Linked DNA regions of Coturnix japonica. The protein of the gene in region 3 interacts with the protein of the main gene of each other region in a pairwise test. Links are inferred from orthologs where the notes say so. Each region holds a gene or a part of one and is shown on either strand. Other genes may lie near its edges.

Region 1 (4,063 bases), on a different chromosome or scaffold from region 3:
ATCCACAGCACAGTGCCAGGAGCAGCCCATGTTGTTAAGCAGAGAGCAGATAGTGCTATTAGTGTGCAATACACTCCAAGATTTTAAGTGATAGTGAAATAAAAAACGACTGGGCATTTATTATAAAGCATGGATTATTAAAAATAGCTCAGTCCTAAAATAGGAAATGCTTCTGTCAGACTTTCTCCATTAAAAGTGAGATGCCAGACACGAAGGTTCCAGTACTGAGTCCAAACTCTACCACATTCATAATGTACCAGAGATAATACCGACATTGTAGCCACTACTAACCTACTAAGAATCCATAAGATCTCATGCACTCAGATACATGTAGAAGTATAGTGGAATATCTGCTTATTGTCCACTAGTTGCCTCTGTGACGGGGCATTTCAGAGTAATACTGAGAACAGCTGGATAGAAAGTACTGCCAGCAGGATTAATACATAGCCAGCATTAAAAAGTGTATTTTCTTGAGGTTTTTGTAATGAGATTTAAGATATTTTAAATGAGATAGCAATGGCTTTTGATACGGCAAACAGATGAAGCCACACTGCTTTCCTGTGCTCAGTGTGAGGGCAACTGTACTGGTGCCAGCAGCAGCGCTGCCTGTGCTGTCATTAGGCTGCTGCCTCCTTCTGTCCTTTGACCTCTCCTGCCCCACAGCCTGCGAGGTGATGGAGGGCTGAGAACACGAGGAGCTGCTGGCATCCATGGGGATCTTCGGGTCTCGGGCTTAGTGACATGGAGGAATGGATTTGCCTTTGGATTCCTGTGTTTATCTGAACTGTGTCTCCTCACGATCCAGCACAGAACGCGTTGGGTCCCTCAGTGCCTGCAAAGCTGGTGATGGTCCGTGGGTTACTGAGCACAATGTACCTGTAGCAGAAACGAGCCTTTCAGCTACTGAGGAGTTATACCTTACTGATAGTGTGGGGCAAATAAAGCATTAAAGCTAACAGGGCAGTGGATGGCTGCAGCACTGGAGGAGTGCTTCCTGACTGGAATCCGGCCCTTCCCAGCGCTTCTTTGTAGCGTTCGAAGAGACATCCTGCCCTCCGTGCTGCTGTGAGGCTGCAGAGCTGGTTGCGTTAGTTTATTCACTTCGACGAGTTAAAGCGAAGCTCCTCGAACGCGCCGTCCCGCTCCGCACCCGCCGCCTCCAACGGCCGCACCAACGTCCCGCGCCCATCGCCGCCATAGCAACGGCGGAGCAGAAGAGACGGGCCGCGTAGCGCGCCTCCGTGCTGCAGGGCGCCCCTGTGCTCTGTGGAGGACTTCCTTCCTTCCTTCCTTCCTTCCTTCCTTCCTCTCCGTGCGGCCGCTCCTCCCCCTGGTTGTGCAGCATTAGCCCGGCATGCAGCGCGGCGCGCCTCACTTCCCGGCCGCGAAGATGGCGACTCCCATGCACCGCCTCATCGCTCGGAGACAGGCGTGAGTGCGGCGGGACGGGACGGGACGGGACGGGACGGGGCGGGGGAACGGCTGGGCCGAGGGAACCGAGCGAGCGGGAGGAGGGCGGCCAAGGACGGGTGTCCGCGCCTGGTGGGGCGGCGGTCTGTGAGGAGAGCGGCTGTGGCGATGTTGCAGCCGGGGGAGGTTGTTCTGCACTGGTAAATGATGCTGCTTCCAGGCAGTTCTCAGACCTGAAGGGTCCAGTTGCCAACCCCTGCTCTGCACCCCCATCCCTTTGTCACTGTGTACCGTAACTTATCTCCTGTTTTCCACAAGAAAGTAACTGGGAATTTCAAAGCAATTTTGCAGTACTGCTCTTTTAAGTTGTAAGAAATCATTCCTTGATTTTAACACTTCTGAAGTCTTCATATGCTTATACTGATTTATACTGACTCGTATATCTGCCTATCTTTGCTTTTAGGCAGTGCTCGTCGATCTGTGTTAAATGATTACCCTGATCTCATGCTTTTCATTAACACTTGCACGTGTTGGTGTTGAGCTGGTATTTATAGCCTTGTAGCTGCTGGGCTCTTTTGATCTGTTTCCTGGTAATTACATTTCTTTTAGGGCTTGATCTTATTTTAGCTTGCATAGGATTCTCTGCCCTAGTCGTGTGAGCCTTATGAAAGCCCTGGAAATAAGGAGATGTGTTACAGTTGCTTTGAACTTCTCTTCCCGTGTAGACAGGTCTGGGCTGGCTAGTTACACCATCTCTGTTGGTGGAACAGACAGGGATTCCTCGTTCCGCTTATGTGTGACTGTGGTGGCAGAGCCAGAAGTCCCAGGCAAGACAAAGCTGACCATTCTGCAGGCCTTGTTTTGGGTGTCCTGGCCTTGAAAAACAAGTAATTTAGTGTTGAAAACATGATACAAGAGCAGAAATAAGTTAGAGCAGTTCTCATGAAGTTCACTGGCTCTAGAAGTAATTTATGATATGGCCTTGAGTGAGTCACTTGAGTGCTCTGTGAGCCTCCTTATTTGTAAAGTAGGAGTGTATCTGTGAGGAGATACAAAAGCAGCCGTTCTTATAAATAAACAGCTTCAGAATCATGGAGCAAGTGCTAAAGACTGAATATGTAATTTTTTCTCAGTTTTCTGCTAAAAGTGATGAAATTTAAGTTTAGAGATTGAAATGCAAGTGTAAAACGCTCACTTATAGTTCTGATGTTTCATTCCGGTATAGTTCGGGTTGATTTATGCTGCAGAAATTGAACAGGAATCCGATCACTGTTACAATAAACCTTCTGCCAGGCTTAATAGATCTTAGGGCAATTCAGATAAGCTGCAGCTGGGAGCAGCTGTTTTGCTTGCTCACATCCTGGGTGCTTTGAGTGAATTTGGAAGTGTGTGACACTCGGGTGATAATTACAAGGGTGTGAAACTGAAGAGTGCAGGCTGGGCTTCCAGAAGTGTGGACAGGTGAGAAAAGAAATTTGGGTGCAGTTGATCACTGTACTGACAGCCATTGTCATAGTTCAGCATCTTCTGCTTTAGCCAGAACAGGCTTAAGCTGAAGCTCTGGAACAGAGGAAAAGCATCTTTCTTTTTCCCTAAATAGTTGGTGTGAGAATAGCTTGGTAACTGCAATAGCACGTTTGCCAAAGTTCTGTGTGTATTTGATGTTACTGTTCTTGTTCTGATTCCAGTTTTATAAGCTAAAGCACTCGTGGACATCAGTCTGCTTTAAACATAATGATGTGTATTGTGTAGACTCTGTATGCTAAAGAAAATTCATATTCTTTCACTAGGTAGAACAGACAGACATGGCATCGGTCACTTAAGCAATTCTGCATTTTTATAGGGAGGCAAACAAGCAGCACGTCAGATGTCAGAAATGTTTAGAGTTTGGACATTGGACGTACGAATGCAAAGGGAAGAGAAAATACCTGCACAGACCTTCAAGGACAGCTCAATTAGCAAAAATTCTCAAAGAAAAAGAAAAGCAACTACTGCTGCAACAAAGGTAAGACTGGCAGAATGTTCAGCTTATTGATGAAGAGGTAATGTGGTGTGAGAGCAGGAAAGGTGGTGCCCAAGATTGTTTTCTGTTGTTGTTTCTTCTCTGTGATACTTGTTCAGTTTTAAAACCATTGTGTGAGCTGGGTGGGGTACATACATCAGATTCCACAGATGCATCTGAAGCAAAAAATAAAGCACGCTAAGCTGACGTTAAAATAGTTGGAGACATTTTGTAGTGAAATGCTGATTCCTGAGTAGCTCAATTTCATATGTTCATATCCTACTAGGTTTGCATGGGGCTAAATAGAAGCAGTTCTTTAACTTCTGCTTAGTTTTGTGTTAGACTGTACTTACAGGTGGTAAAGGTCCACTGTTAAGTACACAATGGTTCAAACAGAGCGTTAGATTATTGGGTGTTCTCAGCTTTGTGTTCCTCCCACTAAGTTGGGTATTGACCCTGAGAACCTGAAAGCACGCCTCTTGTAGCTGGATGTTTTGACCATAGGTCATCAGTGCTACCAGGATGTGAGTTATGGAAGAGCTCTGTTATCTTGCTATGAAGAGCATAGGTGCTGACCTCTGTCAGAGTGATCTGATTTGACCTCATTGGCTGTTTCAACTGGAACAGGAACATAAATGGGAGTACTGAAAC
Region 2 (4,214 bases), on a different chromosome or scaffold from region 3:
TGGATGCCCCGTCCTTGGAGGTGTTCAAGACCAGGTTGGACGGGGCCCTGGGCAGCCTGATCTAGTAAAGGTGTATGTTTGGTGGCCCTGCCAGGCAGGGGGGTTGGAACTACATGATCCTTGAAGTCCCTTCCAACCCGGGTCATTCTGTGATACTGTGAGCCCTGAGAACTGGAGCACCCACAGGGGGAAGGAAGAGGTCACAGACCGAACCCAATGGCCCCTTTCACAGGTGGTTGGAAACATACTTTCCTCTCATAAACAGCCGCTTGTGTATTTGCATCTGAGGGCGTTGCCTGTGTCAACACGACTCTTTGGGCAACAGTATCATCACCAAATATAGTCTTTGCTTTTTCTCCTCAAGGACCTCGCGTTGAGGCCTGCTGGTGTATTAGCACGGATAGGTCTATGGTACAGCATGTGATGGAGCAGCTTTGCGTGCGCAGCAGTTGAGGAAAGATAAAGCCAGAAATGCTGGATTGGTGCACAGCACAGCACAGCAGTGAGTCACACATCTCTACCAAGGAGCAGCACACCATGACAACATCCACCAACTTCTTTTTTCCTCCTGTTTTTGAGCTCAGCTCCAGAAATTCCCTCTCTCTGCTCTCAGCACAGCGTTACCCACACTGCCCGGCAGGTGGCGCTGTTGCACGGCTCCCGATACCCGCCATCACCGCGCCGTGCGGATGGCGGCATCGCCGTCGTCGCGCCGCGCCCGTATCCCCACGTGCCCTCCCCTCTTCTTACAGCGCCCCCTCCCCCGCGCGGAGCCTCCCCCCGAGAACCAATAGGAAGCCTGTTGCCAGGCAAACCTCTCATTTGAATGGCCCAATCGCACGGCCGCCCTCTGTCCCTCCTTATATGGGGAAGCGGGACTCGCCGCCCGCCCCTCCCCCCCCGCTTTGCGCGCGGCGCTGCGCCCGGCCCCGCCCCCAGCCCGCACAGCGCGGGAAAAACAGCCTCCCTCCTTCCCTCCCGCCCCACCCCCACCGTGCGTTGGGGCCCCGTGGCGGCGGGACGCGGCGGGGAGGAGCCGGGGCTGGCAGCGCTTCCAGGGGGAGGGCGGCAGCACAGTGGAAAATTCCAGGCGGGAGCGGCACGAGCCGGGCCGTGCCCACGCTGCCCGACAGACGCTGCCCCGCCGTGCTGCCCCGTGCTGGGGCGGCTCCTCCCTCGCACCTCTGGGCTCTGTTAGTGCGGCCCGGCCCTCAGGCACCGCCGCGCCGTCCCCCCACCGTCCGCCCCGTGTCCGGCCGTGTGCCCGCAGCCAGGCGGACTGGCCGCGCTCCGCGCCGCCCGCACATTGTTCTCGGGGCCCGCTCCGCCGACGGCCGCCCTCCGCCTCCCTCCCTCCCTCCCTCCCTCCTCCGCCCTCTCCCCTCCCTTCGCCAGGTCCCTCCTTCCCTCGTCACCCGGCGCGGTATAAATCCCCTCCGCCGCCGTATCCCCCATCGCGGCGGACCCAGGCACTTTGGCCCCGGGGCGGGATCCGTGCGGCCGGACCGCTGGGACTCGGAGCTCCCGCCTCGTGCCGACCTTCCCTCCGCCCCCCCCTTCTCTCTCCTCCTCGGGGTGTCCCCGCCGCCCCGCGCTGCCCGTGCCACGATGTCGGAGAAACGCGTCGAGGAGGCTCCGGCGGAGCTGAGCGCCAAGGTGAGCCCGGCACCGGCCGCCCCCTCCCACGGCCCCGACCGCCCGGCCGCCAGGGGGGCGCGCGGCCCCTCCGCCAATGGGCAGCGGGGGCGGGGGGCGCAGGGGCCCGCGCGCGGGATCCCGCTCGGCGGGGTGGCGGGAAGGGGGGGGCGGAGCGGCGCGGGGGCTCCGCTGTGCTCTAGGGGCGGCTCCGCTGTGCTCTAGGGGCGGCTCAAAAAGCGGCCAGCCGACCGAACCGGAGCACAAAGGGGGCAGCGGGACGGACGGAGCCGCGCCGACAACCTGCCGCCCCGCAACGGCGGGAGGAGGCCGGGGGCGGGAGGCTCGGCGCTAGAGGGCCGCCCCCTGGACCGGAGCCGCCCTGCCCGGCCCCGAGGCGTGCCTCCAGCCGGGTTGCTCTGCCTGATGGCGAGAGACGGGCTGCCCGCCGTGTGCCGTCCGCCCCTCCTGTCCCGAGCCCTCTTTGTCTCACACCGCTCCGTTTCTGGCCGCTGAGCGCTGCCATGTTTTGTTGTGTTTTTTTTTCCCCATCTTGCGTATAGGAAATGAAGGAGAAGAAGGAGAAACTAGAGGAGAAAGCGGTCCACAAAGAAAAGAAGAAGGAGATAGTAGAGGTGAGGTGTGGAGTGAGCCCTTCGAAGGCTTCGGGAAGGGTCGTCGGCTCAAGTCGCTGCGGGAAGTGAGAGTGAAGGGAGGCAGAGGAAGAGAAGTGAGCAGCGAGGCTTCGGAGGGAGGGTGGCAGATGGACGAGACTAAGGGTAATAGTAGAGAACGAGGCTTGAACTCGGTGTAGTGAGTGCTATGAGCGGGAGGATCAAAGAGGAGATCGGAGACAGGGCAGATGGAAGTCAGGAGGTGGCAGCAAGGGGATGCGGCGCTGCATCTCCTCGGGTATCCCCAGTGCTTGAGGAGCTCGGGCTGAGGGAGCCGCAAGGAGATGCACAGATTGGTCTGGAGTAGATGGACACCAGCTGTTGTTAGCTTGTAACCAGAAAGATGTTTCTGTTGTTGGAATTAGGTGGCAGCAGCGTGTGGTGATACGAATTCATGCATGTCACAGGTTCACGGCGGTGAGGAGGGAACAGGGCGTTTGGTTGTGTCAAGGAGGCAAGAGGGGAGGAGGGTTTGGCAGCGTGGGACAGCTGATGTGGGAGGGACAGGGGCCGAGTAGCAGTGCAGAGATCGCTTGCTTGGTGTGTGCTTGCAGCTGGAGGCTGGGGTGGCAGGGATGTTCTCGCTCTTGCAGCAAAGAGCATGTGGGGACATCATCCTGACAATAAGTTTCTGCTCTGATTTGTTTTGCTTAGGATGAGGAGAATGGAGCTGAAGAGGATGAGGAAGAGAATCCTGAGGATGTGGATGAAGAAGAAGGTGGTGATGAGGATGATGGTGGGTATGATTAGTATAGGAAGAATGGGGGGTTTGCAGGAAGGGCAGATTTGGGGGAAATAAACAATAAGGGGAAGTTCCTTCTCCGTGCTCTTTGACTGTGAGATTTATTTCCTTAAGTGCTACTTTAATTAACTTGTAATTTCTGCTCTTGCTTGTGCTTAGAAGGAGATGAGAACGGGCAAGAGCAGGACGGCCATGCAGAAAAACGATCTGCAGAGGAGGAGGAGGTGAGTGGTGTGTGGGTGAGGGCAGTGAGAAGGAACAAGATGACCACACTGTGTGCAGATGAAGTCCATGAGGATGCTGCTGCTGCTGAGTTTCTTAGTTCATCTTTGCATCTCATTGCTGTTTCAGCAGCAGATGAGTAAACAAACCTGATGTGGCAAAGGAACCATAAAGCTTCATGGGTTTTTGGTGGGATCCGGGGCCAGCCAAAGTGCGGGGTGATGACCCTGCTTTAAAACATGTAATATCTGGGCTGCAGGCCAGGTCTCAGGGTCTGTGTGAAGTGGTGTAAGCCTGTGCTTGCTCTGCCCTCCTGAATGCAGCAGTGCAGATGCTGCTGCAAAAGAAACTGTCCGTGTCTTAACCATTGTCAACAAAGCAGTCATCAGACACTCAAAGTACTTCCAAGAGGAATGGATTTAGGGTGGCTAAGTGGATTTTGGCGTGGAGGAAAGAGCAGCAGTAAGAATTGGATATGCTGGTGCAGCGATTGCTGGTAACTTTATTTTCCTTCTCTTTGTCATACTCAGGATGAAGTGGATCCAAAGAGGCAGAAGACAGAAAATGGGTCCTCCGCTTGAGTCCTCCCCTCCCATTTCCTCTGTTCCGTCCATCTCTCCTCCTCCATTCCAGCCTGTGCTTGCACTGTCCATTAGCCTCTGGCTTCACACAATCTCAGATGAGGAAAGGTTAGAAAAGCTCTCAAACAGGGAATACAGCAGTTTCCTTCCCGTCCAAAGATCCAGCCCATCTGTGACGTTCCCCACCTGAAATTATCCCACCTCCCCACATCCTTCCAGCTGTGCCCCACATACAAATGAACCTCTCCCCTCAAGAATCTCATCATTTTCCATCATGGCCCAATGCGTAACCTTGCCAGGCCTATACGACTGGCTGTTCACACGGCAAGCACCTCTCATTCCTTTTCACTCACCCCTCCC
Region 3 (4,044 bases):
ACGTGTGCGTGAGCAGGGTCTGTGTGCTCATGGCAGCATCTGTGTGCAGGTGTAGGGCATGCAGTGTGTGTGTGCATGGCTGCACGTGCTGTTTGCAGTGGGCAGCAAAGTCCCAGTGCTGTCTGTGTTCTCTCTGTGCTTGAGCCCACCCAACTCCTTACCCATGAGGCTGGTGCAGCCCCGCTGCTATGGGTGCCATCCTTCCAGGGCAGACCAGGTGCTCGCTCTCAGCTGTGCTTATCATCTGTCTGCTGCTCCCATTGCATTCCAGGGCAGCTGGGCACTGCAGGCTAAAAATAACACTGGTAAAATAGATTGCTTCCTGCTGGCACACAGGGCTGAGCCATGCCCTGCATCAGGGCTGGCCTTGTGCCACATGCACCCACAGAACCAGCATGTGTGGGGACACAGGGTCTGATGGCATCACACAGGTTGGGATGTGTGGCTCAGTGCTGGGCTGACACCCTTCACCTGCAGCCCTGACTCAGTTTTCCCACGGGGCCATCACGAATGGATGCGGGATGTGGCAACGTCAGCCCCACGCAGAGAGGTGTCACGGAGGACAGACACCCACATGGGGCTGAGGGCACCCGCTGTGCCCACCCTGCGCTGGGCAGGGGGCTGTGGTGGCCCCTGGTTGGGGCTGCAGTGACACTGAGCACTGTGATGGTGGCACCTGGGGGTTGTGTGGATGGGAAGGGTGGAGGCCACCCTGGAGATCCATGGCCTCATCCCTGTGGCTCACAGGATGCTCAGAGCCATGGAAATCAGTCCCTATCCCTGTTTGTGTTCCCATCCATGTCCCTATCTCTATTACTGACCCCATCCATGCCCCCATCCCCACTGCTGTGTGCTCCTCCCCGGGGCCAGCCCAGCTGCTTTGCCTTCACCTTCCTCTTCCTCCCCCATGCTCCACCTGGCACAGGGAGGTGATTGTCAGCTGAGGCCACTGGGCCCCTCCCTGGGGATGGGCGCTGCTATAAAAGCACAGGGCCAAGTGAAGGGCAGCGCATAGGAGCTGGAAATCTCTGCAGGTGAGTCTGGAGGGAGCTGGGCTGGGGGGTGAGACTGGGTTTGTGGGATCATCCCCCCCACCTCAGGATGCTGCTACCAGGCAGGATCCTTCCTGGCTCTAGTGGTGCTTGGAGCAGAGGCTGGAGGTGGGCGTTGATGTTTGAGTGATGCTTTTTGAGGCACAGAGCCATGCAGGTATGGGGTGGAGGGGGCTGGCAGGGCCTAAGGGCAGCAGGAAGCAGCGACAGAGAGGTTTTGCCTATGGGGACATTTGCCCATCACCCATGGGGACATCCCCCAGATGAGTTTGGGGAAGCTAGAAGAGCCTCCATGGGTGCCTGAGGTAGCCGTCACATCACACCTGGAGCAGGGCAGCTGCTGGGATGCTCGTGCTTATGCTCGTGCCCAGCACGTGCCCCAGCTCCTGGGAAGTGATGGAGGTGGTGGCCTCGGTGACACAGCCCTGAGTCACGTCCCAGGCTGCAGGTGATGCCTGGGACACAGAGCCAGGATTACAGCAAGCCCAGCCCTGTGGGTCCCTGAGGGGTGTTTGGGGCACAGCACCCTGCCTTAAAAAGCCCTGACCCTGCCCTCATCCCATCTTCATCCCATCCCTCAGCAACAGCGATGGCAACGCTCTACCCTTCGCTGGAGGACATGAAGGGCCACCAGGTCCTGCAGGTCAGTGTCTGCTCATCAGCGCTATGGGGGCGATCAGACCCATTGGGTGCCCATGGTGATCCCAAGGCAGGGGCTGTACCTCAAACAAACCCCATCTCCCCCAGGCTCAGGCGGCTGCTGGGATCAGCACCCCTGCCACCACGGTGCTCACCGAGAAGCCGAAGCTCCCGGAGAAGCCAAAGGTCACCTCCAGCACCGGTAATGTGGGGTGTGGTGCCGAGGGGCTGTTTGGGGTGGGGATGTGGGGGTGTCCACATGGTGGGGGCTCAGCTGAGGCCCCCAGCAGCTCAGTGCATGGGTAGGGGGTGGGGTGTGGGGGTTTCTCGGCTCATCCCATGGGTCTCTCTCTGTATCTGTAGTGCCCTCAGCACCACCTGCACTGTACCCCAACCTGGCTGAGCTGGAGGATTACATGGGGCTGGCGCTCTCCAGCGAAGAGATCCAGAAAAACCTCTTCCCAGAAAGCAGCACTGTAGGTTGAGGGCTGGGGGACCCCTCCCATAACCGCATCCTGCCTGGGGAAGGGACTCATTGTCCCTTGAGGGCTGATGTGTGACCCTATGTCCCTGCTGATCCCTGGCTCCATTACAGGCGCTGACCCCCATCGGACCCCAGCCGGGGCAGCTGGTTGCCCCACTGAGTGGGAACAGTGCGGGGCTGCGGCGGGCAGAGATCAAACCAGGTGTGCGGGAGATCCACCTCTGCAAGGATGAGCGGGGAAAGACGGGGCTGCAGCTGAAGAATGTCGACCAGGTGAGGGCTGGGCTGGTGGGAGGCAGGGCGAGGTGTGCCACTGCATGGCCCATATTGCATGGCCCATATTGCATGGCCCATATTGCATGGCCCATATTGCATGGCACATAGTGCATGGCACATAGTGCATGGCACAAAGCTCAGCCTCGCTGTGTCCCCAGGGGATCTTCGTGCAGCTGGTGAAGTCCAACTCTCCGGCGGCGCTGGTGGGGCTGCGCTTTGGTGACCAGATCCTGCAGATTGATGGCAAGAATTGTGCAGGCTGGAGCAGTGACAAGGCACAGCGGGCACTGAAGAAGGCGTCCCCGGAGAAGATCGTCATGGTGGTGAGGGACAGGTGAGCGGTGCTGGGTGGGTGCTGTGCAGTGCTGCTGTGTGTGGGGCTGGCTCTGACCCCGCTGTCCCCATAGGCCATTCCAGCGCACTGTCACTGTGCATAAGGACAGCACTGGGCACGTGGGTGTCGTGGTGAAGAAGGGGAAGATCGTGTCTCTGGCCAAGGACAGCTCTGCTGCCCGCAATGGGCTCCTGACACACCACTACATCTGTGAGGTCAATGGTCAGAACGTCATCGGCATGAAGGTATGGGCACAGTTGTGTCACCTGCTCCTGTCCCCATGGCACAACTGAGGGCAGCCCTGCAGTTGGCACAGGGTTTTTGGGTGCAGACTGTGGACTTGGAGCCATGTGGGTACGGCTGCTTTGGGAGGTGCAGGGAACCCCAAGTCGCCCTGGATGCAAAGTGGGGCTGTGTCACAGCGTTTCATGTTTACCCCTCCTTCCACAGGATAAGCAGCTGATGGAGGTGCTGGCGGGAGCAGGGAACGTCATCACTCTGACCATCATCCCCGCTGTCATCTATGAGCACATGGTGAAACGGTGAGATCCGTGCTCCCCCTATTCCCTGTCTCCTATCAACAACCCCCCATAGTGCCCCCAGGGGACCCTGGGGCTCCCCCTGACCCCTTTCCCCACGTGCAGGTTGTCACCAGGACAGATGAAGTCGTCCATGGACCACTCCATCCCCGACCTCTGATGTCCTCACTGCTGTTCCAGCACCCAGGGGCACATGTTGGTGCAGCCTCCCCACAGCCGAGCCTGGAAGAGGTGAGGGGACTCAAAGGAAATGCTGGAGGTTCCCCTTCAGCCCCATAAAAAGAACCCACGGGAGCTACTGGTGCAGCACCATCCCATGTCACCCAGCTCTCAGCACATGGACCAGGGTTGGGGAACGTGCCCCTGCCCCCAGTGCCTCTCCTTGTCCCCATGTCCCCCCCATACCCTCCATATCCACCCCAGGGCAGATGCCCAAGGCCGTCTCCAGCGAAGCAGACACAGACCCAGCGACGTTTATTACATCCACTGCAGTACAGGACAGCGGAAACGAGAGAAGGGGCTTAGGAAGGGGAGGAGGTTTACATCTCTGTTGGGTTTTTTCTTTTTTTCCACTTCTGTATTTAAAAAATATATAATATAGCTTTGTCTTTCAAATATAACGTTACATTTATTTCTTGGCTAAGCTTTGGATAGTCGGACAGACGCGTACACGGATCCACAAATACATTGCACGAGAGGTTAGAGCCCAGGGCTGCTCCC

Evidence for each region. The genes of interacting proteins can lie anywhere in the genome.
Region 1: the proteins of SDCBP2 (region 3) and ZCCHC10 interact in binary tests that used the Homo sapiens proteins (3 or more experiments, as listed by UniProt). The two-hybrid records come from large-scale screens. The link is inferred for Coturnix japonica from reciprocal best matches to the Homo sapiens genes SDCBP2 and ZCCHC10.
Region 2: the proteins of SDCBP2 (region 3) and PTMS interact in a two-hybrid assay, tested with the Homo sapiens proteins (2 studies listed by BioGRID and IntAct). The two-hybrid records come from large-scale screens. The link is inferred for Coturnix japonica from reciprocal best matches to the Homo sapiens genes SDCBP2 and PTMS.

The regions. Positions count from the first base shown.
Region 1 is NC_029528.1:1,095,457-1,099,519, forward strand, and holds the start of ZCCHC10 (zinc finger CCHC domain-containing protein 10), read left to right. Parts: upstream 1-1,263; 5' UTR 1,264-1,354; coding exon 1,355-1,431; intron 1,432-3,253; coding exon 3,254-3,415; intron 3,416-4,063.
Region 2 is NC_029516.1:69,482,623-69,486,836, forward strand, and holds the start of PTMS (parathymosin), read left to right. Parts: upstream 1-1,414; 5' UTR 1,415-1,608; coding exon 1,609-1,656; intron 1,657-2,198; coding exon 2,199-2,270; intron 2,271-2,963; coding exon 2,964-3,045; intron 3,046-3,210; coding exon 3,211-3,275; intron 3,276-3,803; coding exon 3,804-3,854; 3' UTR 3,855-4,214.
Region 3 is NC_029535.1:9,197,305-9,201,348, reverse strand, and holds SDCBP2 (syntenin-2), read left to right. Parts: upstream 1-1,244; 5' UTR 1,245-1,641; coding exon 1,642-1,695; intron 1,696-1,799; coding exon 1,800-1,893; intron 1,894-2,054; coding exon 2,055-2,167; intron 2,168-2,286; coding exon 2,287-2,448; intron 2,449-2,609; coding exon 2,610-2,785; intron 2,786-2,858; coding exon 2,859-3,030; intron 3,031-3,235; coding exon 3,236-3,327; intron 3,328-3,429; coding exon 3,430-3,484; 3' UTR 3,485-3,939; downstream 3,940-4,044.